Linked DNA regions of Pelodiscus sinensis. The protein of the gene in region 4 purifies or fractionates together with the protein of the main gene of each other region. This does not show direct contact. Links are inferred from orthologs where the notes say so. Each region holds a gene or a part of one and is shown on either strand. Other genes may lie near its edges. The genes, in order: TCTN2, SLC12A2, SLC9A6 and CLGN.

Region 1 (7,578 bases), on a different chromosome or scaffold from region 4:
AGCAGCATCAACCCCAATTAAATCATTCCAGCCAGGGCTGTGTCAAGTCTGGCCTAAAAAACTTGCACGGACTAAGATTTCACCACCCCCTTAGTTTTCACCACCCTCCTAAAAGTTTTTCCTAATATCCAACCTAGACCTCCCTCTGCAACTTGAGACTATTGTTTCTTGTTCCGACATTTGCAACCACTGAAAATAGCCTAGCTCCATTTTCTTTGGAACCCCTTTCAGGTAGATGAATGCTGCTATCAAATCCACTCATTCTTCTCTTCTGCATGCTAAAAAAGCCCAGTTCACTCAGCCTCTCTTCATAAATCATGTACCCCAGCCTCCAAATAATTTTTGTTGTTCTCACTGGACTCTTCCAGTTTGTTCACATCCTTTTCGTAGAAAGTAGGGATGTTAAATTTAGATTAATTGGCTAATTGAATAGTTGATGCAATTTGCATTAACTATTTGATAAGTCAATAAGGGAACCTCTGCCTTTGAGGCTGCTGGTACAGCCCTCCGCCCTGGGGCTGTTGGTACACTTCAAAGGTGAAAGCGCTGTGGGGAGTAGTAGTGGCCAAAGTAGTCCCTCACTGGCCCCATCCTCCCCACGACGTTTCAAAATGGCAGTGCCGCATGGAACCAGGGGTCAGCTGGAGATTTTGCTGACTCCTGGCTCTTTGTGGCACTGCCACTTTGAAATGCTGCGGGGAGGCTGGCATCAGGCTCCATGCAGTGTTTCAAAGCAGCAGCATTGCATGGAGTCCAGGCTCTGGCCCCAATTCCACACAATACTGCCACTTTAAAGCACCCTCTTCTCCCCACCCTGCTTGCTGCCTCTTTCTGATAAAGGCAGCAAGGAGAGGAGGGAGCGACTAGTCAATTAGAGTGTTGACTATCCGATAAGCATTTGCTTATCGACTAGTCGTTCATATCAATTCGCTCAATCTGCTGGTGATCTCCTACTTATGTAGCGCAATATGCCATTAGTCTTCTTGGCAACAATGACACACTGTTGCCTCATATCCATGTTCTTGACCATTGCAATCCCCAGGTCCTTCTTGGAAAAACTGCTTTAGCCAGTCCGTCCCCAGCCTGTAGCTCTGCACTTGTCCTTGTTGAACTTCAACAGATTTCTTTTGACTCAATCCTCCAATTAGTCTAGCTCACTCTGCGCCAGCCTATCTACTTTTCCCACCAGCTTAGTGTCATCAGCAAACTTGCTGAGAGTGCAATTCAACCTATCATCTAGATCATTAATGAAGATGTTGAACAAAATCAGCCCCAGGACCTGGGGAAACTCTGTTTGATACGAACTGCCAACTAGACATCAACCCATTGATACCTATCTGTTGAACCCAACCATCTAGCCAGCTTTCTATCCACCTTATAGTCCATTCATTCAAGCCATACTTCTTTAACTTGCTGGCAAGAATACCGTGGGAGAACATATCAAAAGCTTTTCTAAAGTCAAGACATATCACAGACACTGTTTTCCCCATATCCAGAGAGCCAGTTACCTCATTATAGAGAATAATTAAATTGGTCAGCCATGACTTGCCCTTGGTGAATCCATATTGACTGTTCCTGATCACCTTCCTCTTCTCCAAGTGTTTCAAAATGAATTCTCAGCACCTTTGGTTTCATACACTAAAGAAACATTTTTGAAAATCAGATGGCCAACGTACAAGAGAGTGACTTATGGCCAGGGCTCGACAATTAGTGTAATCTACTCGCCTGTGGCGAGTAGATTCCACCCCCGGAAGAGCCGGCACGGAGCGATCTGCGCACGTGCAGAGCGCAGAACCGCGCAGCTGGTGAGCAGGGCTCACCACTGCTCGGCGAGCTCTGCTTATGGCTATCTCTGACCCTTACTTGTTCTCCTCCATTCTCTGAGCCAATAGCCACATGCAATCCAGCTCCAAAAATCCATAAAACACCCAATAATCATAATAATTGATGGCTAACTCCCACTCTCTCCCCCATGAGCCCCAGGACCTTGATGTGTCCAGCACCTGACCCTTAAAGACCCTGCCTTAATCCACTATGTCCGTCCCAAGGGAGAAAACTTGTTCTTCCTAGCCTCTGAGAATAGAAGAAGCAATGGGCTTAAACTGCAGCAAAGGAGGTTTAAGTTGGACATTGGGAAAAAGTTCCTAACTGTCAGGGTGGTTAAACACTGGAATAAATTGTCTAAAGAGGTTGTGGAATCTCCATCTCTGGAGATATTTAAGAGTAGTTAAGATAAATGTCTACCAGGGATAGTCTAGACAGTACTGGGTCCTGCCATGAGGGCAGGGGACTGGACTCAATGACTTTGCAAGGTCCCTTCCAGTCCTAGTATTCTATGATTCTATGACTATAACTAAACTCCAGTCTGTACACCCCACTCTCTGAGACCCAACCTAATCCTCTCTCCTTTATCTCGCCCCATTATTTCATCCTCTTATCTCCCCACCTCTGGGTCCCTTCCACATCAAGGATCTGAATGGTGAGGTGTTCTGGTTCTGGTTAACCAGTAGGGGTTGGAGCAACTCCCTGCCCGTTAACCAGTTAAACATGTTTAACCAGTTAACCAATTAATTTGAATGGTACATCCCTATTCCACACTGCCCTCCCTATCTGCTGCTGTCTCCAGGAGTCTCTCTGGCCTCTTCCCCTACCTCCCCTCAGGTCTCTGTGCTTTCCCACAGCCCCCCTGCCCCCACATTTCAGAGGGGTCACTGCCAGCCTCCCCCCCACAGCCTCTGGGCTCACACACACAGAGACATAAGCCAGCGCGTCACTAGGGCCGTACCTGAGCAGCGCCCCGCACGCGGGAGGGGGCAGCCAGGTCTCTGCCCCTCCCACATCTGAGGACCCCCCCCCATAGCTGCCAAGACCCCCCACAGCACCCACCGAGGTTGCCTGGCGGAGCCAGGATCTGGGCCCGCCCCGCGGGGCGCTCAGACCCCAGCAGCAACAGCGCCCAGAGGACAGAAGGGATCATGGCGGGCAGGGGCTGCCAGAGAAACGCGGCACAGGCAGCCACAACCCAGCCGCCATCTTGCGGCGGGCCTCTGTCGCTATGGAAACGGTGGCTCGCGGATCACTGGAAGGCCCTTAGAGCCGTTCCCTGGCGTGCCCGCGCCGGCCGAGACGAGGAAATACTGTGCGCACGCGCAGACTCGCTGCTTTCCTGCCACGGCCCAGGTGAGGCGCCCTGTGCGCGAGGCGCAGCCCTGCTCGTGTGACCCGGCAAAGGCTGGAGTCGCTGTGGCGGGCTGGTGGGCTGGGCGCCCCCGCAGGAGCAGGGCGCTAGTCCGTCTGGACCTGAATCTGGTGGAATAGCGGCCCCACGTGAGCGGCCATGGCCTAGCAAAGCAGCTCCCCCTCTGCAGAGCTCGTGGGGCAGGCAAATGGCTTCGCAGCAGAGGCCTTGCTGATGTTTTATGCAGTTGTAAAATTGTCGAGCTCCTGTAAGGGCATCTTGCTGAGGCCTAAATAGATAGGTATCCCGTCAGGGCTGTCCCTAGGGTTTATGGGACTCCACACAGTACTATGAAACCAGACAACAGTGGGGCTAGTCCAGACTGGCATGATTTTCCGCAAATGCTTTTAACTTAAAAGTCTTCCATTAAAAGCATTTGCGGAAAAGAGCATCTAGATTGGCATGGAGAAAAGCACTTTTTGCAGAAAAGCGTCTGTGCCAATCTAGATGCGCTTTTGCACAGAAAAACCCCGATCGCCATTTTCACAATCGGGGCTTTTTTGCGCAAAACAAATCTGAGCAGTCTACACTGGCCCTTTTGCGCAAAAGGACTTTTGTCCAAACAGGAGCAGCATAGTATTTCTGCAAGAAGCACTGATTTCTTACATGAGATCGTCAGTGTTCTTGAGGAAATTCAAGCGGCCAGTGTAGACAGCTGGCAAGTTTTTCCAACTTGCCAGCTAGACACAGCCTGGGGGCGGAACAGAGGGGAATGATGATTTTTTTTAGAGATGCAATTTTGTAATCTTGGGCAACACACTAATCATGCCTTTATGCAAGGGGGGGCAAAAGGTGCAAAGGCTCCTCCCGCTCATAGTCCTCTAAGTAAGCATGAGGTTGGAGCAGCATGTTGTCCAACTTCCCTTCTCTGTGCTCCAGCAGGCCAGGGCAAGGCTGGAGCTGATTTTCAGCCCCCACAGCAAGGGCTGCCACCAGCCATGCCCACCACTCATGCCCTCACGCACAGAAATTCCTGTGTATGGGCCTGCTAATTAAATAGGCTTTAAGCTAATTTCATACTCAGATCCTGTTGACTAATACAGTACATTCAGAAACTGACAAGTCTATTTACCTGGGGTTGGCTTCATTGCCACTTTCACAGATTACATGTTCTACCAATACATCTGGCCTGGCCAGCTTTTTCAGAGTTAAGTTAACTGATTTCTCTCCTGAGGAAGCAGAGCCACAGGCCAGTGATAGGAAAAGCAGCCGGGTAGACATGAATATCCAGTGATGCTCCAAATTTTTGGGTGCCCTACGCAGCTGCATATTCTGCATATGAGTAAAGATGGCCCTGTATAAGTAGGTATTCTAATACAGGCAGTCCCCGGGTTACGTACAAGATAGGGACTGTAGATTTGTTCTTAAGTTGGATTTGTATGTAAGTCGGAACTGGTACATATTGTAGGGGAAACTCTAGCCAAACATTTCTCCAGAGCTCAGTTTTATTCTCGCACACCTCACTTCCCTCAGTCCTTTATTCTCAAGCTGAGGTGTCTGCTGAGAAAAGCCGCTCCGCGTCTCCCTGGTCTGCTGGAGGGGGGGGAGGGGGGCGCTAGCTTCACGTCTCCCTGGTCTTCTGGGAGGAAGCAGCTAGTGCGGGGTTGCCTCACCCCGTTTGTAAGTAGGGATCCGATGCAAGTCAGATCCATGTAACCCAGGAACTGCCTGTACTACTTAGAGTTTAAAAACCACGCCTAATTTTAGATTGCAATAGACCATATTGCCCTCTTAGTTGTACATATTGAAGCATGTTTAAGGCTAAAATATTCATCAGGGCTACATCTATATGATGCTCTCTTGCGCAAGAAGATATGCAAATGAGGCAAAGTGGTGAATATCGCTACACATTTGCATACTTAATGAGCCGCCATTTTGCGCAAGGGGCTTTTGCGCAAAAAGGAGCCATCTACACCGCTCCTTTCTGCACAAAACCCCCTTGCACAAGAGCTGTTCTTCCTAAAAAACCCAGCAGAACTGCTCTTGTGAAAGGGGTTTTGTGCAAAAAGGAACAGTCTAGACAGCTCCTTTTTGCGCAAAATGGCGGCTCATTAAGTATGCAAATGAGGTGCAGCAATATTCACCGTTTTGTCTCATTTGCATATTTTCTTGAGCAAGACAGCGCAGTATAGATGTAGCCTAACAGTATGTAAGATACCTTATCTGGTTTAGATTCTCAATTAATTTTTGAATTTACCTTTAAGATTATTTCAAAGGGAGACTAAAAAAGGAAAAGAGGCAACTTTTTTAAAAAGTCACTTTATTACAAATATTTATAAAAAACAAACTATAAATACAGTTTTCACATAAAATTGCATTTAGCTAACAAGCCAGTAAAATATTAGCATTTTCAATAAAATGGTTTCCCAATCTAACCTGATGAAAATACTATAAATCATCTCCTGTATATACCATTAAAAAAGAATTTATCTACAATCCTGTTTTCTATTTAGAAAACATTCCCATATTGCCTCTGATTACTACAGCAATTACTAAATGTAATTTAAAACACCAAAAGATGCAGTTAGGAATTCAAAACTAGGGATTTTTGTTTGTTTGATTTAAACATAACATTTGGAAAACTGAGAACATGCACCATGCATTCACCTGCTGAGATAGAGGGAAAAATCAATTCATAACAGAGGCCTTCCTACATTATCTTTCCGTGGTATTAGTCAAACCTAAAAAAAGAAACTTGCTATCAGATTCCAGAGATTTAAACTGTTTTCCAGTTTCAAAATATCTTAAATCCTTAAACATGAATGAAAAATAAATACTAGATTTTTCTTTTATTAAACTTTAAAAGGAAAATTACTTATCTCTGTAACGTTAATAGATTATTCAAATGAATAATTTTGTGTTTACTTTTGTTTTGGGAGAAGATACCAAAGTGAGCAAAGAATTACACACAAAGCAGATAATGCCCACTAAAAAGGAATAATTTAGTGGGAAGAGGGAAGGAAAAATATCAAAAATTTGCCTCATCCCAAATAAAACTAAATGACAAATTGTACTAAAGAGAGCTGCAGAATCCACTACAGCATGGATCCTGCAAAGCACATATGACCATGCTTACCTTTACCATGCATGCAGGAGCAGGGCCTAAGTATTTACATTCTGCCTCTGACTCTAAACAGAATTAGGGATGCTGTGTTGTTTTATGATGGTGAGGGCATCTTCTGCTTATACAAGCAGCAGTTTCTGACTCCTAATGGTCAAATAGGAGATTTGATTTTAAAATCATACAAACCATGCACCAATACAACCATCTGCTATTTACAAGGAAGGTGCATACAACCTCTTTGATGTTTTTAAATGTTTAGCAATGTAGATTTGTACAATGTGAACAATTTATTTCACCTTATAAAAATGCCACCAACTCCAGGTACATGCAAGAAGTAATGGTGTTTTTTTATAACTTTGTTATACAGCTAATTTTAGTTTCTTTTTCTTGGCCTTCATGACAGGTGGTAATGAAATCTTAAAAGCAGTCCTGAAATACAAGAAATTAAAAATAAGATATGCTAAATATATTTCTACATTTAGCCTACATAAGCAAACAAAAATCAAGAAAAGCACTTACTCGCATGTGCTACATATAGGGCTGAAGTTGCAGAATACTGGAAAATAAAAGAATAGGTCAATTTCACTAAAATAATTACCTTGAAACAAGAGAAATTAGGTCAGTTCTGTTAAATATATTTGTAAAACTTACTTGACAAACACACAGAGCAGACATAGCCTATTTCAATGAGATTTCGATGACAGAAGCAAGCTGCTCGATAGTCAACATGAATGGGGGGTGGAAGGATTAGTTGGGATCTTTGGTCTTGATCAGGAAGAAATACCCACTGTATAAATTAAAGAGAGGGGAATTTTAGAATCTGGGAGGAAACTATTATGTTAAAGTACGCTTTGCTATATATACCAAAATTACTGCAGAGAAAAAAGTTACCTTCCCATCTGCCAAAGAAACTCGCCTCTATGACTGTACCAAGTCATTAAGTAATTTGAGCAAGAAGGGAATTTTGTCCTCATTTACCTTCCAGGAAATGTTTTTATACTCATATTGCAATAAATAAAAAATGCTCTTTTAAAAATCAAGTCATTTTAAGATATTACAATTCATTCAACATCAATTTGAACCATATGTGAGTTTAATGGGGACAGAGGTGCCAGAATTATACCTCCAGAGAGAAATAAAAAAATGTATCCACAGAACCAATAAAGAATAGTCATGGAAGGTTCGCTGCTCCTCACTCCCTCCTACTACCACCATCATGTCTGAAATTCTATTCTGCTGCAAATACCTCTGCAGGCAAGAGAATTCTTCAGTCATC
Region 2 (8,357 bases), on a different chromosome or scaffold from region 4:
GCCGGAGCCCCTCCGCGGCTTTCAAAGCCTCGGGGGAAGCCGGCGGGGGGGGGGGCATCCCAGGCGCGCCTGGGCTGCTCCCCCGCCGGAGCCCCTCCGCGGCTTTCAAAGCCTCGGGGGAAGCCGGCGGGGGGGCATCCCAGGCGCGCCTGGGCTGCTCCCCCGCCGGAGCCCCTCCGCGGCTTTCAAAGCCTCGGGGGAAGCCGGCGGGGGGGGCATCCCAGGCGCGCCTGGGCTGCTCCCCCGCCGGAGCCCCTCCGCGGCTTTCAAAGCCTCGGGGGAAGCCGGCGGGGGGGCATCCCAGGCGCGCCTGGGCTGCTCCCCCGCCGGAGCCCCTCCGCGGCTTTCAAAGCCTCGGGGGAAGCCGGCGGGGGGGGCATCCCAGGCGCGCCTGGGCTGCTCCCCCGCCGGAGCCCCTCCGCGGCTTTCAAAGCCTCGGGGGAAGCCGGCGGGGGGGGCATCCCAGGCGCGCCTGGGCTGCTCCCCCGCCGGAGCCCCTCCGCGGCTTTCAAAGCCTCGGGGGAAGCCGGCGGGGGGGGCATCCCAGGCGCGCCTGGGCTGCTCCCCCGCCGGAGCCCCTCCGCGGCTTTCAAAGCCTCGGGGGAAGCCGGCGGGGGGGGCATCCCAGGCGCGCCTGGGCTGCTCCCCCGCCGGAGCCCCTCCGCGGCTTTCAAAGCCTCGGGGGAAGCCGGCGGGGGGGGCATCCCAGGCGCGCCTGGGCTGCTCCCCCGCCGGAGCCCCTCCGCGGCTTTCAAAGCCTCGGGGGAAGCCGGCGGGGGGGCATCCCAGGCGCGCCTGGGATGCCCCCCCGCCGGCTTCCCCGGAGGCTTTGAAAGCCGCGGAGGGGCTCCGGCGGGGGAGCAGCCCAGGCGCGCCTGGGATGCCCCCCCGCCGGCTTCCCCCGAGGCTTTGAAAGCCGCGGAGGGGCTCCGGCGGGGGAGCAGCCCAGGCGCGCCTGGGATGCCCCCCCGCCGGCTTCCCCGGAGGCTTTGAAAGCCGCGGAGGGGCTCCGGCGGGGGAGCAGCCCAGGCGCGCCTGGGATGCCCCCCCGCCGGCTTCCCCCGAGGCTTTGAAAGCCGCGGAGGGGCTCCGGCGGGGGAGCAGCCCAGGCGCGCCTGGGATGCCCCCCCGCCGGCTTCCCCGGAGGCTTTGAAAGCCGCGGAGGGGCTCCGGCGGGGGAGCAGCCCAGGCGCGCCTGGGATGCCCCCCCGCCGGCTTCCCCGGAGGCTTTTTAAAGTTTTGGTAACCGCTACTTCGCGGTTCGACCATCGCGGATTCATAATGTAATGAAAAAAGTCCGCGAAGTCGTGAATCCGCGATAGTCGAACCGCGAAGTAGCGAGGGTTCACTGTAAAGCCATTTGTTCTTCAAATATACAATTGTGACTGGTTCCTACTGGTCAGTGTCCAACACCTGCATCTTTATAAATCTGAGTGACAAGTTGTTGCTGTTTTCCTTCTAATACAAATCTACATTTATCTCAAGCCGGTTTGTGGACAACTGAAACCAACACGAAGAAAGGAGCTTAAGGGGAAATCATTTAGTTGTTTTGCCTAGATCAAATTCAGACAAGGGGAGGAGGGCAGAGAGAAGACAGAGCAAAGGCTTCCTATTGCAACCCAGCGGCCCGTGTTAGTCAGCGCAGATCTGAATTATCTGGCCCCCACGTGGGAAGAGGAAGGAAGCAATGCAACTGTGAGCACAAGCACCATCAGGGCTCTGAAGCACTCGGGCTGAGGAATGGAGATGCCCGCAGTATCTTACCTTGTCCAACTCATCGTGCAGCTCGGCCAGGCTAGGCCGGATGAGCTTCTCGCCCAGGTCGGCGGCCGTGTGCCGGTAGTGATCTATCCTGGGCACGGCGTCCATGGTGTTGTGGCCAAAGGTGCGCAGGTAGTAGGTGTTGGTGTGGGTATCGTAGTAGTAGTGGTGATGCCCGCCGGGGCCGCCGCACCCGGAGTGGAGACTGCCCTCGCTCAGCACCGTATCGCCGCCGTTCTGGAAGCTGACCCCGCCGCCCTCCGGGCCCCCGCCGTGCTCGACATGGCTATCATCGCCGGCCGACGGGTCCACGAAGTTCACCCGAAACCTGCCTTTGGCTTCGTCGCTGCCCTTCCCCGCCGCGCCGCCCGGCCCGCCAGCTTTCTGGGGTTCGTCCGCTGCCGCCCGGCCAGAGCCCTCCGCCACCAGATCCACCTGGAAGCGGCTCTGGCTCGGGGTGGGACCCAGCGGTCTGCACAGGGCATCACCAGCCGCTGCCGCCGGAGACAGTCCCGCTTCAGGCTCCGCACCGACAGCCGCCGCATCCCCAACGCGAGCCGGCAAGCGCGGCGCTTCCTCAGCGTCTCCCGGCGCCGCAGCAGCCTGCTGCCGGGTGGAGCCAGACGGCGGCTGCTTCCCCTCCATGTCTCCGGCTCACGCGGCAGCGAACGAGCGACGGCCCCGGCTGCCTCTGACACCCCAGCGGCGGCTCGGCTGCTTTAAACGTCCAACCACCAGCCGGGCTGCCCCAAGACCACGCAACGCGCCGCGCCCGCCCCTCCTCGCCTCTCCCCTCCCTCCGCCTCCGCCGCAGCGCCAGGTGATGATGCTGCCGCCGCCGCGGCACTTCTGGCTCCTCCGCCCGCCACAAGACCCTGAGCCCGGACAGAGGGGCAGCAACAGCCGCCTTGCGGCGCGCTCCGCAGCGGCACCCGACACCTCCTGCCCCCCACCCACCCGCGCTGGGCAGCAGGGCCCCCGGCTGAGGGCACACGCGGCTCCCGCTCCCCACCGCGCTGCCTGACCTAATCCCAGAACCGCCCGACACGCCGAGGCAGGGTCCCACGCCGCCGCACTGACACCCCGAGGAGCAGGCGGAGCGGCGCTCGCCCGGCGGGCTGGCCCCAAGGCGCTGACAGCAGCCGGCCGAAGGGGCAGGGCTCAGCCAATCGCGGCTCGGCGGCGCGGCTCGGGGCTGGGTCTTTAAAGCGACACGAGGGCGGGCTGGCGGCGGAAGTGGCTTTTTTCCGTCCCTCCCCGTCCTCGGGGGGGGGGGGGGCTCGGCCGCCGGGACTCGCGCGCCTCCGGCCCTAGCGAGCGTCGCTTCCCTTCCCCGGAGCGGGCGCGGCGGCAGCGAGGCGCCGCCTGTCTCGGAGGCTCCGCCCGCCCGGTCCCTCCGGGCGCGCTGCGGCAGGAGGAGACACCCGGCTCTGGGGCGGATGCTAGCGCCGCTACGGCTGCGTCCGCCGCCTCGGAGGAGAAGTGGGTGACAGGCGGCGCTCGCAGCCCCAGCACCAGCAGCCGCCGCTCTTAGGCAGGCCGCGCGCGCGCGCTGCTGGCCGATGGTGCCGGCTGGCTCCGTCCCCGCCCCCTGGGCCTAGCCTCGCGCTCGCTCCCCCGGTTTGAAAGTTGTCCGCCCGCCGGCTCCGCAGGCTGCGGCGCGGGGAAAGATCTCGCGAGAAAATCCCCGGGCGCCACTCTTAGGAGGTGGTGGGGGTCGGGGGCAGGTCAGCAGGAGCCGGTGCGGTTGTGCTGCAATTACTGCACATTTTCATAGCCCCCCTCCCCTTCTGTCTCGTGGTCGATTGCCTTAAGGGGAGGGCTGAGCTTCCCCAGCTCTCACCTGCTTTTGCATACACTGCTCAGTGGCAGGCGCACAGGTCTGTGCCTCTGCCTTCTCCCACCCGACTTTGGATGAGGGAGATATGGACAAAGAAAGGCCCAGGCAGGGATCAGCAGCCAGGACCCTGGGGCTATGTCTATGCTGGCGAGTTCTTGCACAAGAACGGCCGTTCTTGCGCAAGAATCCACAGAGCATCCACACTGCCTGTCTGCTCTTGCGCAAGATTTACAGTACCTGCTGGTAAGAGAAAGCTTCTTGCGCAAGAGCTACACTCTTTTCTTACAAGTGTAAGCTCTCTTGCGCGAGAAGCCACCAGTGTAGACATAGCCTGGGTGTGGGGGGGAGATAGCAGCCAGGGCTCTGGATGCAGGTCAGGTGTGCTGCAGCACTTCCCCACACACAGCTAGGTCCTGTGCCTGTCCCCCAACTGTGACCTCAGAGCTCCAGAGCAAGAACCTAACTGACCCTGCCAACCTCCCCACCCTCTCTATCCTGCTCTCAACCGAGATCCAGGAGCCTCGGCTGGGGACGCAGAGCTCCAAATAGTGCCCCCACCCCTAGTGTGACAGACAAAGCTGTGAGGAGGCCTGGGGTTTACAGCAAGAAACCTATCAGCCTTTTTGTCAATTTCACAGGTCTAGCAGATGTCTGTGAAACCGACAATGACAGCGAACAACTGCCCTGCTATACGCTGTCATGATGGTGAAAGTATATTAGTGTAATAGAGCATTTATATCATAAGTAAGGCTGCAGTAGTATATACTGACACAATTAGCATGATGTAAGCTGCCTTACGTTGACCAAACTGTACGTACATAAGAACAGCCATACTGGGTCAGACCAAAGGTCCATCTAGCCCAGTATCCTGTCTGCCAACCTTGCCCAATACCAGATGCCCCAGAGGGAGGGATCACAACAGCTAATCCTCATGTGATCCCCTCCCCACCATTTCCAGAGAAACAGAGGATAGGGACACCATTCCTACCCATCCTGATTAATAGCCATTGATGGCCCTAACCTCCATGAATCTATCTCACTCTTTTTTTAACCCTATTAAAGTTCTAGCCTTCACCGCATCCTCTGGCAAGGAGATCCACAGGTTGACTGCACACTGAGAAAAGAAAAACTTCCTTTTGTTTGTTTTAAATCTGCTGCCTATTATTTTCATTTGGTGACCCCATAGCTCTTATTATGGGAATAAGTAAATAACTTTCCCTTATTCATTTTTTCATACCAGTCATGATTTTATAAACCTCTATTATATCCCTCCTTAGACTCCTCTTTTCTAAGCTGAAAAGTCCAAGTCTTTTTAATCTCTCTTAATATGGCACCTGTTCCAAACACCTCATCATTTTTGTTTCCCTTTTCTGAACCTTTTCCAATGCTAATATCTTTTTTGAGATGGGGTGACCACATCTGTACACATTCACTCAGTGTGCAGAGGCAGTGAAAAAAGCAAATAGAATGTTAGGAGTCATTGTTAGGACTCCTAACATTCTATTTGCTTTTTTCACTGCCTCTGCACACTGAGTGAATGTTTTCAAAGAACTATCCACAATGACTCCAAGACCTCTCTCTTGAGGTGTTGTAGCCAAATTAGTCCCCATCGTATTGTATACATAGCTGGGATTATGCTTTCCAGTGTGCATTACTTTACATTTATCAACATTGATTTCATTTGCCATTTTGTTGCCTAATCACTTAGTTTGATGAGATCTTTTTGAAGCTCTTCACAGTCTGCTTTGCTCTTAACTATCTTGAGCAGTTTGGTATCATCTGAAAATTTTGCCACCTCACTGTTTACCCCTTTCTCTAGATCATTTATAAATAAGTTGAATGGATTGGGTCCCAGGACAGACCCTTGTGGGACCCCACTAGTTACTTCTCTCTGCTCAGAACATTTACTATTTATTCCTACCCTTTGTTTTCTGTCTTTTAACCAGTTATCAATCCACAAAAGGACCTTCCCTCTTATCCCATGACAACTTACTTTACTTAAGAGCCTTTGGTGAGGGCCCTGGTCAAAGGCTTTCTATAAATCTAAATATACTACATCTAAAGGATTAGCCTTGTCCACATGTTTGTTGATCCTCTCAAAGAACTCTAGCAGATTAGTAAGGCATGTTTTCCCTTTACAGAAACCATGTTGACTTTCCCCCAACAAATTATATTCATCCATGTGTCTGACAATTTTATTCTTTACTAGTTTCAACTAATTTGCCCGGTACTAACATTAGACTTACTGGCCTGTAATCACTTACTGGCCTGTGATCTAGAGGATCACCTCTAGAGCCCTTATTAAATATTGGTGTCACATTAGCTATCTTCCAATCAATTAGGTACAGAAGCTGATTTAAAGGATATTTACAAACCACAGTTAATGGTTCTGCAAATTCTTTCAGAACACTTGGGTGAATGCCACCTGGTCCCAGTGACTTGTTACTGTTAACTTTATCAATTTGTTCTAAAACCTCTTCTAATGACACCTCAGTCCGGGACAATTCGTCAGATCTGTCACCTAAAAAGAATGGCTCCGGTTTGGGAATCTCCCCAATATCCTCAGCCATTAAGACTGAAGCAAAGAATTCATTTAGCTTTTCCGTGATGACTTTATCATCTTTGAGGTCTCCTTTAGCATCTCGATTGTCCAAGGGCCCCACTGGCTGTTTAGCCAGATTCCTGCTTCTGATGTACTTAAAAAACATTTTACTATTACTTTTTGAGTTTTTGGTTAGCTATTCTTCAAATTCCTTTTTGGCTTTTCTTATATTTTTACACTTAATTTGACAAAGTTTACGGACTTTTCTATTTTCCTCACTAGGATTTGACTTCCACTTTTTAAAAGATATCTTTTTATCTGTCACCGCTTCTTTTACCTGGTTGTTAAGCCACGGTGGCACTTTTTTGGTTCTCTTATTGTGTTTTTTAATTTGGGGTATACATTTAAGTTGAGCCTCTGTTATGATGTCTTTGAAAAGTTTCCATCCATCTTGCAGAGATTTTACTTTTGTCACTGTACCTTTTTTTTTTTCTGTTTAACTGACTTCCTCATTTTTGTGTAGTTCTGCTTTCTTAAATTAAATGACATAGTGTTGGGCTGCTCAGGTATTTTTCTTACATTAGGTCATTGTTTTCAAGCGGTCCAGTTATATTTACCTCTTGAACCAGATCCTGCGCTCTACTTACGACTAAATCAAGAATAGCCTCTCCCCTTGTGGGTTTCAGAACCCACTGCTCCAAGAAGCAATCATTTAATGTATCAATAAATTTTATCTCTCCATCCTGTCCTGAAGTGACGTGTACCCACTCAATCTGGGGATAGTCGAAATCCCCCACTATTTCCGAGTTTTTTAATTTGATAGCCTCTCTAATCTCCCTTAGCATTTCATAGTCACTATCATTGTCCTGATTATGTGGTCGATAATATATTCCTACAGCTATATTCTTATTATTGGAGCATGGAATCACTATCCATAGAGATTCTATGAACGTTGTGGTTCATTTAAGATTTTTACTTCATTCTTTCATGTATAGAGTCACTCCCTCACCAGCACGACCTGCTCTGTCCCTCCGATATATTATATACCCTGGTATGACTGTGTCCCATTGCTTGTCCTCATTCCACCAAGTTTCCGTGATGCCTATTATATCAATATCCTCCTTTAAAACTAGGCATTCCAGTTAATCCATTTTACTATTTAGACTTCTAGTATTTGCGTATAAGCACTTTAATAATTTGTCACTATTTATCTGTCTGCCATTTCCTGATGTTAGACTCTTTCATTTGATTGTGCCTCATTTGATCTGATAGTTCCATCATCTCCTCCTGACTAGAAAATAGAGCATCTCTATTAATAGAACCTCCCTGTGACGGGGCTGGCCAGCCTCCCACTGAACAGGGGGGCGGAGAGCCCGCCTATTGGGTGGAATACGCCCCTTCCCCGCAACCCTGCTGGGCATGCTCGCAGTGCAGCCCTGGTATAAAAGGCTGCCGGGCTGCTCAGTTGGGGCTGGCCGCGGGAGGGGAAGGAGCTCCTCTCCAGGCCCCAGAGCCGGAGCCACAGCCACCGGACCAAGAGGTGCAGGACCCGTTACCCCTGCCGATGTTGTCACTGGGACGAGCCAGACCACAACGCTGGCCGTGCTGCACAGCCTCCCTAGAAGCTGTTGCTGCTGTTGCTGGACCTGCACCTTCAGGTGGGACTGCCGTCAGACCAGGCAAGGGGGTAGGAAGCAACCCAAGGCAGGGGCCAGAAAAAGGCCCAGCGGGCTCAGTGAGTTCCGGGGAGAATGCCCTGCTGAGCCAGTAGTGGAAACCACCTGCCACTGATAGGGCCCTGGGTTGGGGCCCAGTGGAGGGGGGGGGCCCAGGCCCCTCTACCCCTTCCTACCAGATCCCAGACGACGAGGGAAACCATTTAAAGGACTAGGCCGCTGGGCCTCCGTTGAAAGGACTAGGCCTCTGTGCCTGCATTTAAAGGGGACCGGACCTTGGGGAGAAGAGGATGGGGCTGGTGAGCCCGCCACACTCCCCTAATAGATAGTTTAAAAAGGACTGGGGGAAAAGCCAACAGGTAGTATAAGCTGACATGTAGTATACCACAGAGTTAAGGGCTTGTCTCCTCTACCAGGTGGATTGTTGCTGCAGCGATTGATCCATCAGGGATTGATTTATTGGGTTTTCCCACTAAATCAACTGCCAAATGCACACCTGTGAAGTCCAGTACTCCACCAGAACAAGACACATTACATT
Region 3 (7,198 bases), on a different chromosome or scaffold from region 4:
TTTAACTCTTTCCAGTGTACTGCAAATACTCCTCCTAACATGGTAAATATTATCTCCATAGTGCAAATAGATAAACTGACAGAAAGACACTACTCAAATCTCAGCCTAAGTATAAACCAGCCACAGAACCTCAAATTCTATTGCCCAATGAGACATATTACGTTGTTACACATCCATTACCACCTAGAAGTTCCCTAGTTTCACTGAGCTGCAACACAGAACTTAGTGTAGGCAGTGGTTAAGAACTCCAGTTCTCCTATGCTTTGTGCAGTTTAGCTCTATATTAGAAATACGACTAACATTCCAGGCCAAGATTTTAAAATGCGTCTAGTGATTTTGGGTGCCCAACTTGAGATACATTAAATGAGGCTAATTTTCAGTGGGAGGAACTCAGCACTTTCTGACACTGAGGATCCACTCGGATGCCTTAAGTTGATCACCCAAAATCACTAATCACTTTGATAAATGTTTGGGTCCCCAGGTTCATACTTTCATAGATGAGAATATGACCTCCAAGATTCATGCAGGAAGAGCTCTGCACAGGGCCGCATTGACACCATCTCCATAAGAGAAATCACAGGGCTGGGGCCTATACTTGTAACCTCTTTACTGTAAGTGTCAGATGGGCAGGAATTATATAAACATTTTAGCGCAGGGCTACTCAACTTTGGAAGCCCCAGGGGCCACAATGATACTCACAGTACATGCCGAGGGCCGCAACTTAAGTGTGGTTGCATATACATGCAAATATATGCAAACAGCTTCTTTCACACTGGCGGGCATGAATACAAAGATTAAGGCAAGACTACACAAGACGCAGGCTCCATTTAAGTCACTCCTGCTGATATTAATAAAATGCAGTATTTACCTGATTTCCACCCCTATGACAGTACTTTCAATGAGCAATGACAGTCCAGGAATTTAACTACTAAAACACATATTCCACCTGCATGCCACGTGTTGAGCCCCGCGTAAAATCAAACTACATTGCGGGCCGCAAACAAATGGGCTGCGTGATGAGTACCCTGCTTTAGCGTGATACCTTATGGATTAGGGATGTTAAATTTCGATTAATCAGCTAATCAAGTAGTTGATGGAATATCCATGGGGGGAGCTTGCTATCCCGTCTCGCACCAGATCCCGACTGTTGCACCTCTACTTGAGTCCCCGCTCACTCTGGGTTCCCTGCAGCGCCTCTGCGGGGCTCTTACTACATTTGAAAGAGAGGCGCAGCAGTCAGGATCTGCTTTACTCCCTGCTCATGCCATTTTCCCTGCTGCGCCTCTGTCTCCCCTGCTCCTCTGTGGAGACTGTGCTGGGGGGAAATTGGCTTTTAAGCTGGCTCCCACCAGCACCAGCTCCCCCCACCCCTACTGCCCCACTGCCCCTGATACAAAGGTGGGGAGAAAGCAACTGGTTGACTAGGCATTTGACTACTCGATAAGCCCAGGCTTATCGGGTAGTCGACTAGTCGCTTTCATCCTTATTCTGGACATTAGATGTGTAACATCTCTAGTCTTGATACAATGCAATATTTTTTTTCAAAAAAGTTTATTAACACGCAGTGACATGTTATATACATACCTCCCAGGCAAAGAACACAATTTAAGATCTGGGCAAATCTCTTTCATCCTCTTAGCCTAGTGCACTTTCCTTCCACAGTTGCCAGAACTATGTGAAATCAGGTGTCTCTGCACTAAGGGATCCTTTTAACAGTTCACCCACCCCATATTAAGAGACCTCTCAATATTTTAAAAAAAAAACCTACTTAAAATACAATGTCTTGCAACTTTTAAAGACACACACTTCAGCTATTATATAGGCTTTTCAAAAACACCTGGGTTAGGGTTAGGTCAACCCCTCATGGCCAGATCTTTCTTATGCAGGAATGGTACAGTAGATGCTGATGTCTCATTGAGGGAGACCCCAGATGGGTATTTTCCTGGTCAGTCTCACCATAGATCTGATTCCATCTCACGCAGAAAGTATATGACTATATAGTGAGTAGGCCACTCCAATGCAGGAAGTGCTATGATAGGGTTGCCGGGTGGGTGCTAAATCACGGGTGTTGGGTGCAAAATGCATGGAGGGGGGTTGAGTCCTGCCTGGTCTCACGCACGCAGTGTTCCCAGGGATGGGTCTGACACGGAGTGGGAGATGGGGTTGTTTGCTGGATGGCTCAAAAGGATGGCTGGGTCCTGAGAGAGTCTCTCACCACAGGAAGTTACCCGGCAGACCTTGTGCAGTCAATATGCCAAGACGTGGGTGTCAGAGGGGTGGGGTAAGTGTTGGGTGCTGTGCGCCAGCTCCAAGGGTGAGTCTGGCTGGCTTCTGTGTGGCAGCTCAGTAGCCAAGCAGTCGGGAGGGTGTGGGGTATCCCTCACGGTAGACATGACCAGGTTGGCTTCAAGCAGGAAGTGCACATAGAGGGTGCCCACTATCAACTGGTTGCTGGGTGGCAACTGAGAAACTTTATGTGACAGTTCAGGGGCTGGTTACTGGGGAGGTGCGGATGAGAGTTTGGGGGGGGAGAGCAGGTGCTATCTCCGGGGAGGGGTGGAGGGGACTGTTGCTAGGCAGCAGCCCTGGGCCGGAGGGCAGCTCAGGGGGCTGGTCCCTAGGCAGCAGCGGAAGGGTGGGGGTGTGGAGCCGGGGGGGGGGGGGCTGAAAGCCAGCTCAGGGGGTGGGGGCTGAGTGACAGCTGCAGGGGGGTGGGGGCTGGTCGCTAGACAGCAACCAGGGGGCGGGGGTCGAGGTGGCAGCTGCGAGGGGCGGGGTGCTGAAGGGCAGCTGGGGGGGGGGCAGCTGCGAGGGCTGGTCGCGGAGTGGGAGCCGGCGGCTGAGGGGCAGAGCCGGGGGCGGGGCCGGCGCGCGGCGCCCCTCACCGTAGATCATGGCCAGGCCGGTCTCGTGCAGGAAGCGCGCGCGGCGGTGCTTGAAGAGCCAGATGGTGAGGATGGTGAGGGTGAGCAGCAGGATGAAGATGAGGAGGTTGGCGCTGTCCTGCCGGTGACTCTCCTCCGCCGCCTTCTCGGACACGATCTCCTCCTCCAGGGCCACGGGCCGGGCCACCTCCCCGCGGGCCGGCGCCGCCAGCAGCAGCAGCAGCGCCCGCACGGGCAGCGCCACGGCCATGGCTCCGGCTCCGTCCGCAGGGCCCGGCTGGCAGCGGAGCTGTGGGCAGGGCTCGGCGCAGGCGCCGGGGCGGGAAGTGGGGCGGTGCCGGGCGCGCGTGGGGAGGGGCATAAGGGGCACAGGCCATGGCTGTCGGCTGGAGGCCCCCGGGGAAGTGCGGCTGCTCTAGCGAAGCACCCGCCGTTTCACAGCCAGCCTAGCGTGTTGGGAACCCCGCATGCCTAGGCTTGCCCATGCCTAGCATCCGGCAGCATCACACCTGCCTGGCACCGCGTAAAGCGAGACTGCGGAGTTACCCATCCTTGGGGGATGGCATGGCAGTGGTTCCCTACTCTACCGTGTTTGTCACTGGGAACAAAACATGGGTCTGTTAAAAAATTCCCATTGAACATTAAGAACATATGTTCTTACGTTGACGGGTCCGTTCATAACTCTGAGGTGCTGCTGCACCCCAAAATACCACAGTATTTCATAAGCTCTGCAGCTGCAAAGCTCAATCCAATGGCAGCCAGTCAGTGGGATCTAAAACTCTTCTGTGTACACAGTCATTGATGCAGTGTAATTAATGTGACTCTCTTCATGTGTGAGCTATCTACCAGGAACACAGGATATATGCTGATATAACCCTCACCACCATTGGGCTCTACTGGAGGGACAGTTGGGGAAATTAGTAGGCTGTCCAGTTCTGGGTTCTAAAGCCAGGAAACTGAACGTTCCCAATTTTGTGAGGCCAGCTGTTTGGGAGGGACAGGGGCAAAGCAAGCCTTAAGGGTGAGTTACCCAGGTGACTGCAAATGGGTGTCATACTCAAAGTGGTGCTACTATGCAGCACAGAACCATGCCGCTTAGGTTGTCAGTAACTGCTCCTGGCTGACCCGGGAGCTCTTCTGGAGAGAAAAGCTACCCAGGTTGATGCCAGTTTCCTCCCAGTATAAGAACATGGTGGGAGGGTGATCTCTCTCCCACAAACCTTCCTCTACAGGGCTATGGGGGAAGCCAGATGTAACACATTCATGCTTTGTGCCTCCAGGCCACTTTCTCCAGCCCAGTTATGCCTGAGGTGAGCATCAGGAGCTGCTGCTCTCCTGTCTTTCATGGACCCGATATTGCTCCTTGCTTCCCAGCTCCTAGCCTCCTAAGGTGCTCAGAGCATTGCTGGAGAGGGGAAGCTAACAGCGAATCCATGCATCCTGGGCGTTTTTCCCAGGAGAATGCAGGAGTTAGGAACGAAGGGGACACAGTGCAGGGTGAGAGGCGGATGGGGATATCGAGGAGGCCAAGCGGCAACGCGCAGCAGGGCAGCTGTGCAAAATACAAGTTTTCCCCAGGCCGCCATTTGTACTCCAGTGCTATTGCCCCACCAGCCAGGGGAGAAGCGGCTCCCGGGGAGAGGGAAGGTAGCTAGGGGCTGCCACAGCAAGGACACCGCACAACCCCCATCCGCAGGGAAGGCCTCGGACTCTGCCAGAGGAGTGGGCCCAGCAGCCTGCCACTCGGGCTAACGGGATGCCGCTCCCCAAAGGACCTGGGAGCAAAGCTCACCCTTAAGTCCCGCCCCTCAACCTATGACTCTGCCTGTCCCGCCTATCTTCGTCGGCCCCGCCCCTCAGCCTATGACTGTCCCTCCTGCCTATCACTGTCGGCCCCGCCCCTCAGCCTATAACTGCCCCTACTGCCTATCATTGTCGGCCCCGCCCCTCAGCCTATGACTGCCCCTCCTGCCTATCATTGTTGGCCCCGCCCCTCAGCCTATGACTGTCCCTCCTGCCTATCACTGTCGGCCCCTATGAATGCCCCCCTCCTATATGAGTTTGTATGCCTTGGCCCCGCCCTCAACTACAGCCCTAGCCCTTTCGCCAATCACCGCTGACCCCGCCCCTCGACCGTCCCTTCTAGCATCTCAGGCCACACCTCTCGACCTATGACCCTGCCCCTGTCTTCCCCCCCCCTCCCGCTCTTTTCCCTCTAGCGCCGCTCAGGGGTGACGCCATCTCCGTGCGCCGGTCGCCCCCCTGGCGCAAGCCGGCCGGACTGAAGGGAGGGAGCCCGTGGCCGGCGGGGGACGATGGCGGCGGCCTCGCTGTGGAAGGGGCTGGTGGGGATCGGACTCTTCGCCTTGGCCCACGCGGCCTTCTCCGCGGCGCAGCGTGAGTGAGCGGGACCTGGAGGCGGCGCGGGGGGTGAGGGGCTGTCGCCCGGGCGGGGAGCGGGGACGTAGCCATCCTCGTCCCCGCGGCCCCTTCCCCACACGCTGCTCGGGCAGCGGGGGAGGGGCAGTGCGGGCGCCTGGGCGTCGCGGGGTGGGGGTGGCGCGCAGGAGCGGGGCGCGGGTGCTGGTGGCAGCCGGGACGAGGCGGAGTTAGATGAAGGCGGCAGAGAGATTCCGGGGGCAAAGCGGGGCCGGTTCTTACTGAGGAAATCCCTGCGCCTCAAGCCGTTTGCCGAGGGGGAGATTTGGGGACGCATTGCCAGCCGTGAGCTGGGGGCCTGGGCCAGGAAGGGCGGGTAGGGGGGTACCACACAGAGCTGTGATTACAGATGAAGCCGGAGGGGGTAGGTTCGCCCAGAGCTTTAAGTATATTTAGAGGAGGAAAAGAGTGTGTAAAGTGTAGCCAGTTCTCTTTTGAGCCCATATGTTAATTTTCAAGCCTCTCTTGTAGAGATCCTCAATACCTTTAAAGCAAAATGGTATAATTTCTCCCAAATTGCTTGCTTTGGGAATCAAGGATCCAGTTACTTTATGTAACCAGGATCAGAAAGTCCTGGTCAAGGACTCTGGCTTGGAAAGATTAATAACCCCTTGAAAACATTTACACGCAGGCATCAGCATGGTTCTAGCTGTGGTAGGTGGCAAACCTAAATATTACACGTTTCTGAAGCCTGTCTAAGGTTATTTCAAATTCCTAACTTTCCGTTTTTTAAAATACTGTTTTTCAATTCTAGTGGGTTTTGGAGACACCACTTGCTAGAATCGTGTCAGGATTGTGGTGGGGCAATACGGGAACAGGCTATGGCTAGGTCACTGAATAAGCAAGTGGGGAAAGAGGGACTCTGGCCCCCTGTGCTACTGGCCCAGGAAGTTTTTGGGGAATAGCCCTAAGAGTCCAGATTCCCCCTAGCTGGAGCTTCTCAGTAAGTTTCCAACCTTTTCTTGGAGGGATAGGGGTGTGGGCTTACTTACTCCCATGGCTGCTGAGTGTACAGGTTCTGCTGAACCAAGCTCCTGCATCCTTGCTAGTCAGCCCCAAAATGAGCCAGGCTCCTTCCTTCTCTACTTCCTCCAGGCCTGGTATTGGCTGCAGATGAAGCCAGAGGGGGTAGGTTGGCCCAGAGGCTTTCTTTAACCCCTTGAACACTGGGACCTCCTTTTTCTGCTGCCTCACACATGCCAACAATGTGTATAAAATGATTTAAAGGACTATCCATTTTTTTAAACTAAATCTGTTATTATCTAAGATGCCACAGGACTGCTCATTGTTTAAACCACTTACTTTTATAATTCAGAAAAAGGTGATGTCCTTTAGTTTTACAACCCAGAGTTATCTGAATTTTAGGACAGATTAAGTTAATGCAAAATGTGCTTACAAAATTCCACACTACTGCATACCTCTGACTAGAATGAAAATAATTAACTGTATTGAGCTAAATTTCTGCCTGTAATGTCTTGTAGAATTAGGCTGATAAGTATAGCATTTATAAATGGCAGCATTGTGACAATAGACATACACTCTGGTTGGCCCGGTGTGGAGTTGCAACTTCGGTTGCAAGATTCCTGTACAGGAGTCAGGATTGAGGTATATGAGGGGCTCAGGTCAGGGTGCTAGGGGCAATGTTCCCTCTAAACTGCTGCAGGACAGCTTCACAGGTGATTAATCAGCCCCCCTCAGTCAGTCAGCTCTCTGCATGGAGCCCTAAGCCTCTGACTGGGTTGGACTGATTAAGCACTTATAAAGCTGTGCTGCCACGCAGCTTAGAGGGAACACTGGTTGGGGCTGGGGGGGTGGAGGACAGGTTGCAGGAGACAGGGGCAGGGTCCTGAGGATGGGAGGAAAAGCAGGGGAGT
Region 4 (7,290 bases):
CTGCAATTTTTCTCCCTTCTCCTTGTGATACCCTTTTAGGGTATGTCTACACTACCCTCCTAGTTCGAACTAGGAGGGTAATGTAGGCATACTGCACTTGCAAATGAAGCCCGGGATTTGAATTTCCCGGGCTTCATTTGCATAAGCGGGGCTCCGCCATTTTTAAATCCCCGCTCGTTCGAATCCTGTGCCGCGCGGCTACACGCGGCACGAACTAGGTAGTTCGAACTAGGCTTCCTAGTTCGTGCCGCGTGTAGCCGTGCGGCACAGGGTTCGAACGAGCGGGGATTTAAAAATGGCGGAGCCCCGCTTATGCAAATGAAGCCCGGGAAATTCAAATCCCGGGCTTCATTTGCAAGTGCGGTATGCCTACATTACCCCGCTAGTTCGAACTAGGAGGGTAGTGTAGACATACCCTTAGATACTTGAAAACTGCTATCATGTCCCCTCAGTCTTCTCTTTTCTAAACTAAACAAGCATAATTCTTTGTCTTCCTTCATAGGTCAAGTTTTCTAGACCGTTAATCATTTTTGTTGCTCTTCTCTGGACCGTCTCCAATTTTTCCACATCTGTTTTTAAATGTGGTGTCCAGAACTGGACACAATACTCCAACTGATGCCTAATCAGCACAGAGTAGAGCGGAAGAATGACTTCTCATGTCTTCCTCACAACACTCTTGTTAATGCATCCAGAATCATATTTGCTTTTTTTGCAACAGTGTCACACTGCTGAGTCAAATTTAGGTGTGGTCCACTATGACTCCTAGATCCCTTTCTGCAGTACTCCTTCCTAAACAGTTACTTCCCATTCTGTATGTGTGAAACTGATTGTTTCTTTCTAAGTGGCGTACAGGTAAGACCTCTCTGGTCTGGCACGTTCAGGACCTGAGCTGTCCCGGACCAGGTAGTTTGCCGAACCAGAGGAGGTCAGTGCTCCCCTGCTGGCTGCCCCCCTCCCAAGCTCCTCTCCCTGAGGCTCTCTGTGCTAACACTGGCCCTGTTAAAGCTGGTTCAACACAGTTCCCCACCTTGCTACCCGGCCACTGCCCCAGGGTCTCCCGGGGTCTTTGGCGGGAACTACTTGGCCACTGTTGGTCCTGTTGCTGCAGGGCATTTTCCAAGGTTCCCGGGTGGGACCACCTAGCTGCTGGTGGCTCTGCTGCCACAGGGGGTTCCCCAGCCAGGGCCGCCCCGCCATCTTTCCCTACTACTAGGACCACCCTGATGCTGCTGGAGATTAGGTCATCTGCCTCTGCCAGACCCGCTGCCATGGGGGGTTTCCCAGGGTTACTGGCCAGGGCTGCACGACCGCAGGCAGCCCAGCTGCAGCCAGGGATTCTTGGCTGGGGCGGGGACTCTTCAGCCACTGCCCCGCTAACGGTGGGGGTTCTCTGGCCAGCAGTGGGGCTCCCCAGCCATTGCCTGGTTCCATTAATTCTGGGGTTCTGGGCCAGGGTGGGGGCTCCCCAGATGCTGTCTGGCCCAGCTGGGGCTTCCCAGCCCCTGCATTGCTCCAGGGCTCTTTGGTCCAGCAACATCCCTGGCTCTGCCAAATCACAGATGTTGCTGGACTAGAGACTCCCGGATTTGGGAGGTTCAACCTGTACTTTGCATTTGTCCTTATTAAGGATGTTAAGGACTAGCAACTATCCGGTAAGCAAATGCTTTGTAAAGGCTGATTCCCCACTGTGGCACAATGAACGCAGAAGTGGGGGCCTGCAAAAGCAACCTCAAAACCTTATCTTTGCAGGCTTTGGTATAAAACTCCCCCCAAAATCCTAAAAACCTAGATTTTGGGGATAAAAATCTGCTGCCACCATCAAGTGCTTTTGAACCCACAAACGGGTGGACACTTGAAACCAGCTCCAGAGTACCCCAAGCTCTTTTCTCCAAAGAGCTTGAAAAATAAAAGATAAAATACCAATTGCAATCTGTGGTAGCTGCCCTCTAGTGAGAGGCATGCAGATATCCACAGACAGATTTTCCAGGACACAGAACTGAACCAATACCAGGTTAACAAAAGAAAGAACTTTTATCATCAAAACAATACTCTTGTTGAAAGCATAATGACTAGATGGAAAAAGTCACCAATTAATATACTCATGGGGACTTCCATGGGCTCAGGACTTAGGCTGTGTCTAGACTGCAGGATTTTTTCGAAAAAACTTCACCTGCGTCTAGACTACAGCCGCATTCTTTCGAAATTAAATTGAAAGAACGCGGCTTTTCTTTCGATGGCGGTAATCCTCATTTCACGAGGAATAATGCCTTTTTTCTAAAGTGTTCTTTCGAAAAAAGGCGTTCTTGAATGCAAACAGGGCTTTTTTGAAACAGAGCATCCAGACTGCCTCGGTGCTCTCTTTCAAAAAAGCGGCTTGCTTTTTCGAAAGAAGAGGTTGCAGTCTAGACGCTCTCTTTCGAAAGATTCTTTCAAAAAAGCCTCTTTCGAAAGAGACTTGCAGTCTAGACGTAGCGTTAGGGAGGAAAACCCATTTCTAACAGCACACACATCAGATCCAAAGTCCCAGAACAGAAACAATAAAACCTAACAGATTTATCTAAACTTTACCCTACTTACACATTTTGAAGAGTCTTTTTCTTGGAGAGAGACATGTCTTCTGTCTCCCTCAGTATCTAGAGAGCAAACTGACTCAGAGACAAAGGAGGGAAAACCTCAAAATTCTTTTGTCTAAGTTTGAAGTCCCTACCTGCATTTCTATTGGCTGAATGCTACCTGGCTAGATATAGGAACATAGATAACCCCTTAGACTCCAGGCTGCTAGCTAACCCTCATGGTTATGACAGGTCCAGCAACATCCGTGGCTCTGCCAGACCACAGATGTTGCCGGACTAGAGACTCCCGGATTTGGAAGGTTTAATCTGTTTCATTTGTCCTTATTAAGGATGTTAAGGAATAGTTGACTATCCGATGCTTATCGGATAGTCCAGTCCACTAGGTGATTTCCCCAGCCTTGCTGCCTCTATTAGATAGAGACAGCAAAGGGGTGGGGGAAGGTGGGGTACTTTAAAGCGGAAGCATTGCACAGCTGATCCCGGGCTCTGTGTGGCATTGCCCCTTTGAAACATTGCTAAGGTGTTTCAAAGTGGTAGCACTGCATGGAGCCCAAAGTCAGCTAGGGACACCCAAGCTGACCCTGGGCTCCCTGTGTCATTTCCGTGGAACCCAGAGTCAACTGGGGAGTCCCCAGCTGATCCCAGGTTCTGGGAAAATGTTGAGGAGCCCAGGGTCAGCTGGAAACTCCCTAGCTGAGCCCAGGCTCCTCCACAGCTTTTGAAAACATGCAGAACCTGGGGTCAGCTGGGGAGTCTCCAGCTGACCCCAGGATCTGGGGAAATGCCTTGAGGAGCCCAGGGTCAGCAGGGGAGTCCCCATCTGACCCCTGGCCTCATGTGGCATTTTGAAGTGGCAGTGCAGCATGGAGTCCGGGGTCAGCAGGTGACTCTGAGCCCAGGCTCCCTGAGGGCACTTCTACTTTGAAATGTACAAGAGTCCCCTGCAGCCCAATCCTCTGCCTCAACCCTGAGCATCCCTCTGCATCTAAACTCCCAGCCCGAGCCTGCATCCTAACCCTCCTCTCCATGCTCAGCCCGGAGCCCCTCTCACGCATCAAATCCCTTGGCCCCCACCACAGCCAGCAGCCCGGGGGAAGCAAAGCACCATGGAGGGACGAGGTGCAGGGGGTGGAGCAAGGGCGGGTATGTTTATGGGATCGCGCAGCAGTAACTGCGGGCCGAGCAGGTGCCTCGCTGCTGAGGCTTTGTGCTGCGCAAGCCGCATGCCCTGCCTGACCCTGGCTAGGAAGCGGGGCGGCACCAAACGGGCACCTGTTTCCCAGCTCCCGCGCGGACACTGACCACTACGTCTGGCGGCCTGGACTGAACAGTGACTGACACCGCGCGTGCGCGCACTGCAGCGGCACGTCCAAAGCTGCGGGAGCAGAGCCGCGAGCCCTTCTGTAAACGCTGATGGTGATTGGCTAAGCCAGCACGTGCTGGGCCCTGACCGCCGCGGACTGAGCAGTGATTGGCTCGGGCGTTGTGATCGCAGCCAGTGGGTCGGACGGGAGGGTCTGGAGTTGTGATTCGCTTGGTCTGTTCGCAGCGTGAGCGGATTGGCTCGGTTGCGCGGCAACACCTGCTCTTCGGCGCCGGCATCGCTTGAAGCGCAGTGGCGCATGCGTAGTTGGAGCTGGGTGATGCGCGAAGGGACGCTGTCTGGCTTTACCGGACAGACGCGGACCGGACCTTCTGTTTTGCCGGTAATTGTCCTCCCGCGGCTAAACGTCTCTGAGTCACGCGGGGACGGGCTGCCTCCGCTCTTGCTGCCTGTGTGGTGGCTCGCGGCTGTGAGCATCTCTGGAGCTCTGCTCGGGGCTTTCGCTTCGCGGGCCAGTTGCTCCTTCGCTCGCCCGTTAATTGGAGGCCAGTGAGCCGCAGGCGCCTAGGAGCTCGGCGGCGCGGAGGAAGTCGGGGGTGCAGGCCGCTTTCCTGCCGACCCTTTCCCCACCCCGGCGGTGAGCCTTCGGCACGCGGGCGCGGCCGTTATTTTGCCGTTAGAATGTCCGTGGCATGAGGGTTCGAACCCCAGCCATGGGCTCGGCGCGTCCCCTGTTGGACACGTGCCTGGCGGGGTTCCCAGTTCCGCGCGCTCAGCCTTGTGCCCCCGCCCGGTCTCCGACTTCGTTCAAACTCCCGCCCCCCCACGGCGGGGCAGAGAGCTCTCGGGCAGCACCGCCCGCCTCTCCTGAGAGATGCTCTGAGGCCTAGTGGGACCAGCCGGAGAGAACAACAGCAATTAGCTCCGTGTGGGGGATGGGCAGTAGGTGCCCTAAACTGTCTGCCTGCCGGGGAATGTTGCAGCTCACTGGCTGGCTGCTCTTGGTTAGGGTCAGTCAGACCCTGATACTCTGGTTTCAGCTGCCAAGCTGTTGTGCGTGTGTATTCCTGGCTGAAGGAGGGCTGCACTACCTTGGAATGCGCAAAATTTAAAACCCGTGTGATGAGCCTTTATCAAAACGTAGGCCCAGGATTTGTGGAGTTTTATGTGGACTGGACATAGCGTCTTGATTCTGAACACGTGCTCGCTTTTATCTGCAGGTTGCTTTAAACATAGGTATCCTTCTGCAATATATCTTATATGTTAACTGCACTAAATCTGCTTCACTGTTAAATGGTTGGGGTTCCGTCCTTTAGGGGAGGTTGTCACTGACTGTCCTCCAATCCTGCGTGTCTTAAATATTCTGCTACTTATGTCTCAGAGCCCAGATGCCTACAGACGAGCTTATGGTTAATATCAATTAATTCAATAATCGTGTAACAGCACAACATTTTAGTGGTTATATGATTATTTGATAATCCCCGGGGGTGGGGCTGGCAGGCAGTGCGCTCCCAGCCCCGCTTGCAGGAAGTCTGCAAGCCTGTGCTGCCTCTTTTCATGGGGGGCGGAGGCGAACTCCACGCAGACAGGGGCTGCGCTGGCATTCCACAGAGCAGCCTCTGTCTGTAGCCAGCCTGGTCCTGCTGAGGACAGAGGCTGCTCTGTGACAGCAGTCCCTGTCCATGGGGGAACCGAGCTCTCTGCAGACAGGGGCTGCTCTGGCATCCCTTATTGGAGGCAGCAGCGCGGAAGTGGGCGGGAGGGAGAGTAGGTGGCTCCATAGGATTGGTACAGAGGCAGCAAGAGGGGGTGCATTTAGTTAAGCCCGGACTTAATTGTTTACTCAACTATGTGCTGACATCCCTAACGTAAACTGCAGTTTAGTGCCCCAGATTATTAGACCTCTTAAAAAAATGACTAAATTAATGTTTTTTGGTAATGTGATGGGACATCTTAAACTTGAAATAGCTTAGGGCCTCAGCATGTCTTAATTGGGTGCTGAGTCATTCCTGTCTTGGAATTCTCAGGGAGTTAAGGTCCATGTCTCCTTAAAGCAATAAGGTGTGCTTTTGTTTCCTTAAACTGGAGTTAACAATCATTTCAGTTAACAATCATTTATCTTTACACCGAGTTGTGTTATAGTAAAGATAAAACAAGGGCTACTTGGTATCAGGCAGAGCAGGCTGAAGATAGAATGGGTTACTTTTGTTTGTATGCTTATGCCCAATACCTAATTTACGAAGATATAGCCTTAGCTCAAGGTAGCTTTCTCAACAATTGTTCTTTGTTTAGCATGACTGACCAGACCCTTTGGCCAGGATCCAACAGATTGGGTGGACAGTGCTTGGTTTCTTTTTCTCCTGAGGTGCACTTCAAAGTGGTAGCACTGCATGGAGCCTGGGGTCAGTATGGGAGTCCCCAGCTGATCCCGTGCTCCATGCGACGCTGCTGCTTGGAAGCGCACTCTCCTCTTCTCCCCCCCCCCCCCCCCTTCCCTCCGGCTGTCTCTGACTAGTCGTTCACATCCCTCCCCTGACTGGCCCTACATTTCAGGTAATTGGATCTTTCAACAGACGTTTAAAGTGCATTTCTGTTACCCTCTGTAAATCTAAATTTTTCAGGGTAAAGAGTCCTTGCCCTCATGAGTTAAGTAGCATGGTTTAAAGGTGATCATAGTAGTTATTTCTGTTTGTACATTCTTTATCAAATTTTTTTTCTTTTAAAGAAGCTTCCTCTGTGGAGGGGAAAATAGATTCAAAAGAAATCTAATCTACCAGGAAAGTTAAGAAATATTGAAAGCAGTAATTGTGCTAGGATTGAAAGAATACTAGTGGAAATTGCTGTAATGTAGACCAGATGTTTGAGGCAGGAATCTCTTTGTATGTGTCTGTACCGTGCTTAGCAGAATGGGCCTTGGCTTCTGATGCTGCTATAACTTCTGGTAATATACTAGCATGTCCAACACACAGTTGTCTGGTCCTGAGTAAGACTTGAGGACTTTTTAAAATCTGCTCCAAAAATCCTTCCTGATCTGTGCAACTTTGTGTTACGGTAGTACCTAAAAGCTCAAACCAAGATGAGAATTACAGGACATTTGGTACTTCACAATTACACATATACAGTCTTGGGCCACATCTGAACTTGAGGAAAGATGGATGCTGCAGCTGTCGATCTTCTGATGGTTGATGAGTGGCTCTAGTAAAGACCCACTAAATCGAATGCTGAGGGCACCCCCATGGGTGCCAGTAGTCTTCCTCTCCACAAACAATAAAGGAAGTTGACAGGATCATTTCTCCTGCCAACCTCCCACTGTGAAGACTGCACCAAAACTCAGCTTAATGGAAGTGGATTCCAGCTATGATGATGTTTCAGTGTGAAAGTTAGGGATGTTAG

Evidence for each region.
Region 1: the proteins of CLGN (region 4) and TCTN2 purify together in Homo sapiens (affinity purification with mass spectrometry; 3 studies listed by BioGRID and IntAct, with this or other methods). This does not show direct contact. The link is inferred for Pelodiscus sinensis from reciprocal best matches to the Homo sapiens genes CLGN and TCTN2.
Region 2: the proteins of CLGN (region 4) and SLC12A2 purify together in Homo sapiens (co-immunoprecipitation; 3 studies listed by BioGRID and IntAct, with this or other methods). This does not show direct contact. The link is inferred for Pelodiscus sinensis from reciprocal best matches to the Homo sapiens genes CLGN and SLC12A2.
Region 3: the proteins of CLGN (region 4) and SLC9A6 purify together in Homo sapiens (co-immunoprecipitation; 3 studies listed by BioGRID and IntAct, with this or other methods). This does not show direct contact. The link is inferred for Pelodiscus sinensis from reciprocal best matches to the Homo sapiens genes CLGN and SLC9A6.

What each region holds. Positions count from the first base shown.
Region 1 is NC_134725.1:31,202,696-31,210,273, forward strand, and holds the start of TCTN2 (tectonic-2), read right to left. Parts: upstream 3,143-7,578; 5' UTR 2,978-3,142; coding exon 2,887-2,977; intron 1,639-2,886; exon of another isoform or gene 1,509-1,638; intron 1-1,508. Other genes in the region: GTF2H3 (general transcription factor IIH subunit 3), read right to left, coding at 6,662-6,731, 6,822-6,858, 6,954-7,089.
Region 2 is NC_134716.1:51,375,741-51,384,097, forward strand, and holds the start of SLC12A2 (solute carrier family 12 member 2), read right to left. Parts: upstream 3,364-8,357; 5' UTR 2,407-3,363; coding exon 1,765-2,406; intron 1-1,764. UniProt on the Homo sapiens protein: Cation-chloride cotransporter which mediates the electroneutral transport of chloride, potassium and/or sodium ions across the membrane. Plays a vital role in the regulation of ionic balance and cell volume.
Region 3 is NC_134723.1:34,716,188-34,723,385, reverse strand, and holds the start of SLC9A6 (sodium/hydrogen exchanger 6), read right to left. Parts: upstream 3,220-7,198; 5' UTR 3,136-3,219; coding exon 2,886-3,135; intron 1-2,885. Other genes in the region: MMGT1 (ER membrane protein complex subunit 5), read left to right, coding at 5,201-5,282. UniProt on the Homo sapiens protein: Endosomal Na(+), K(+)/H(+) antiporter. Mediates the electroneutral exchange of endosomal luminal H(+) for a cytosolic Na(+) or K(+).
Region 4 is NC_134715.1:43,521,492-43,528,781, forward strand, and holds the start of CLGN (calmegin), read left to right. Parts: upstream 1-3,946; 5' UTR 3,947-4,279; intron 4,280-4,307; exon of another isoform or gene 4,308-4,534; intron 4,535-4,937; 5' UTR 4,938-5,133; intron 5,134-7,290. UniProt on the Homo sapiens protein: Functions during spermatogenesis as a chaperone for a range of client proteins that are important for sperm adhesion onto the egg zona pellucida and for subsequent penetration of the zona pellucida.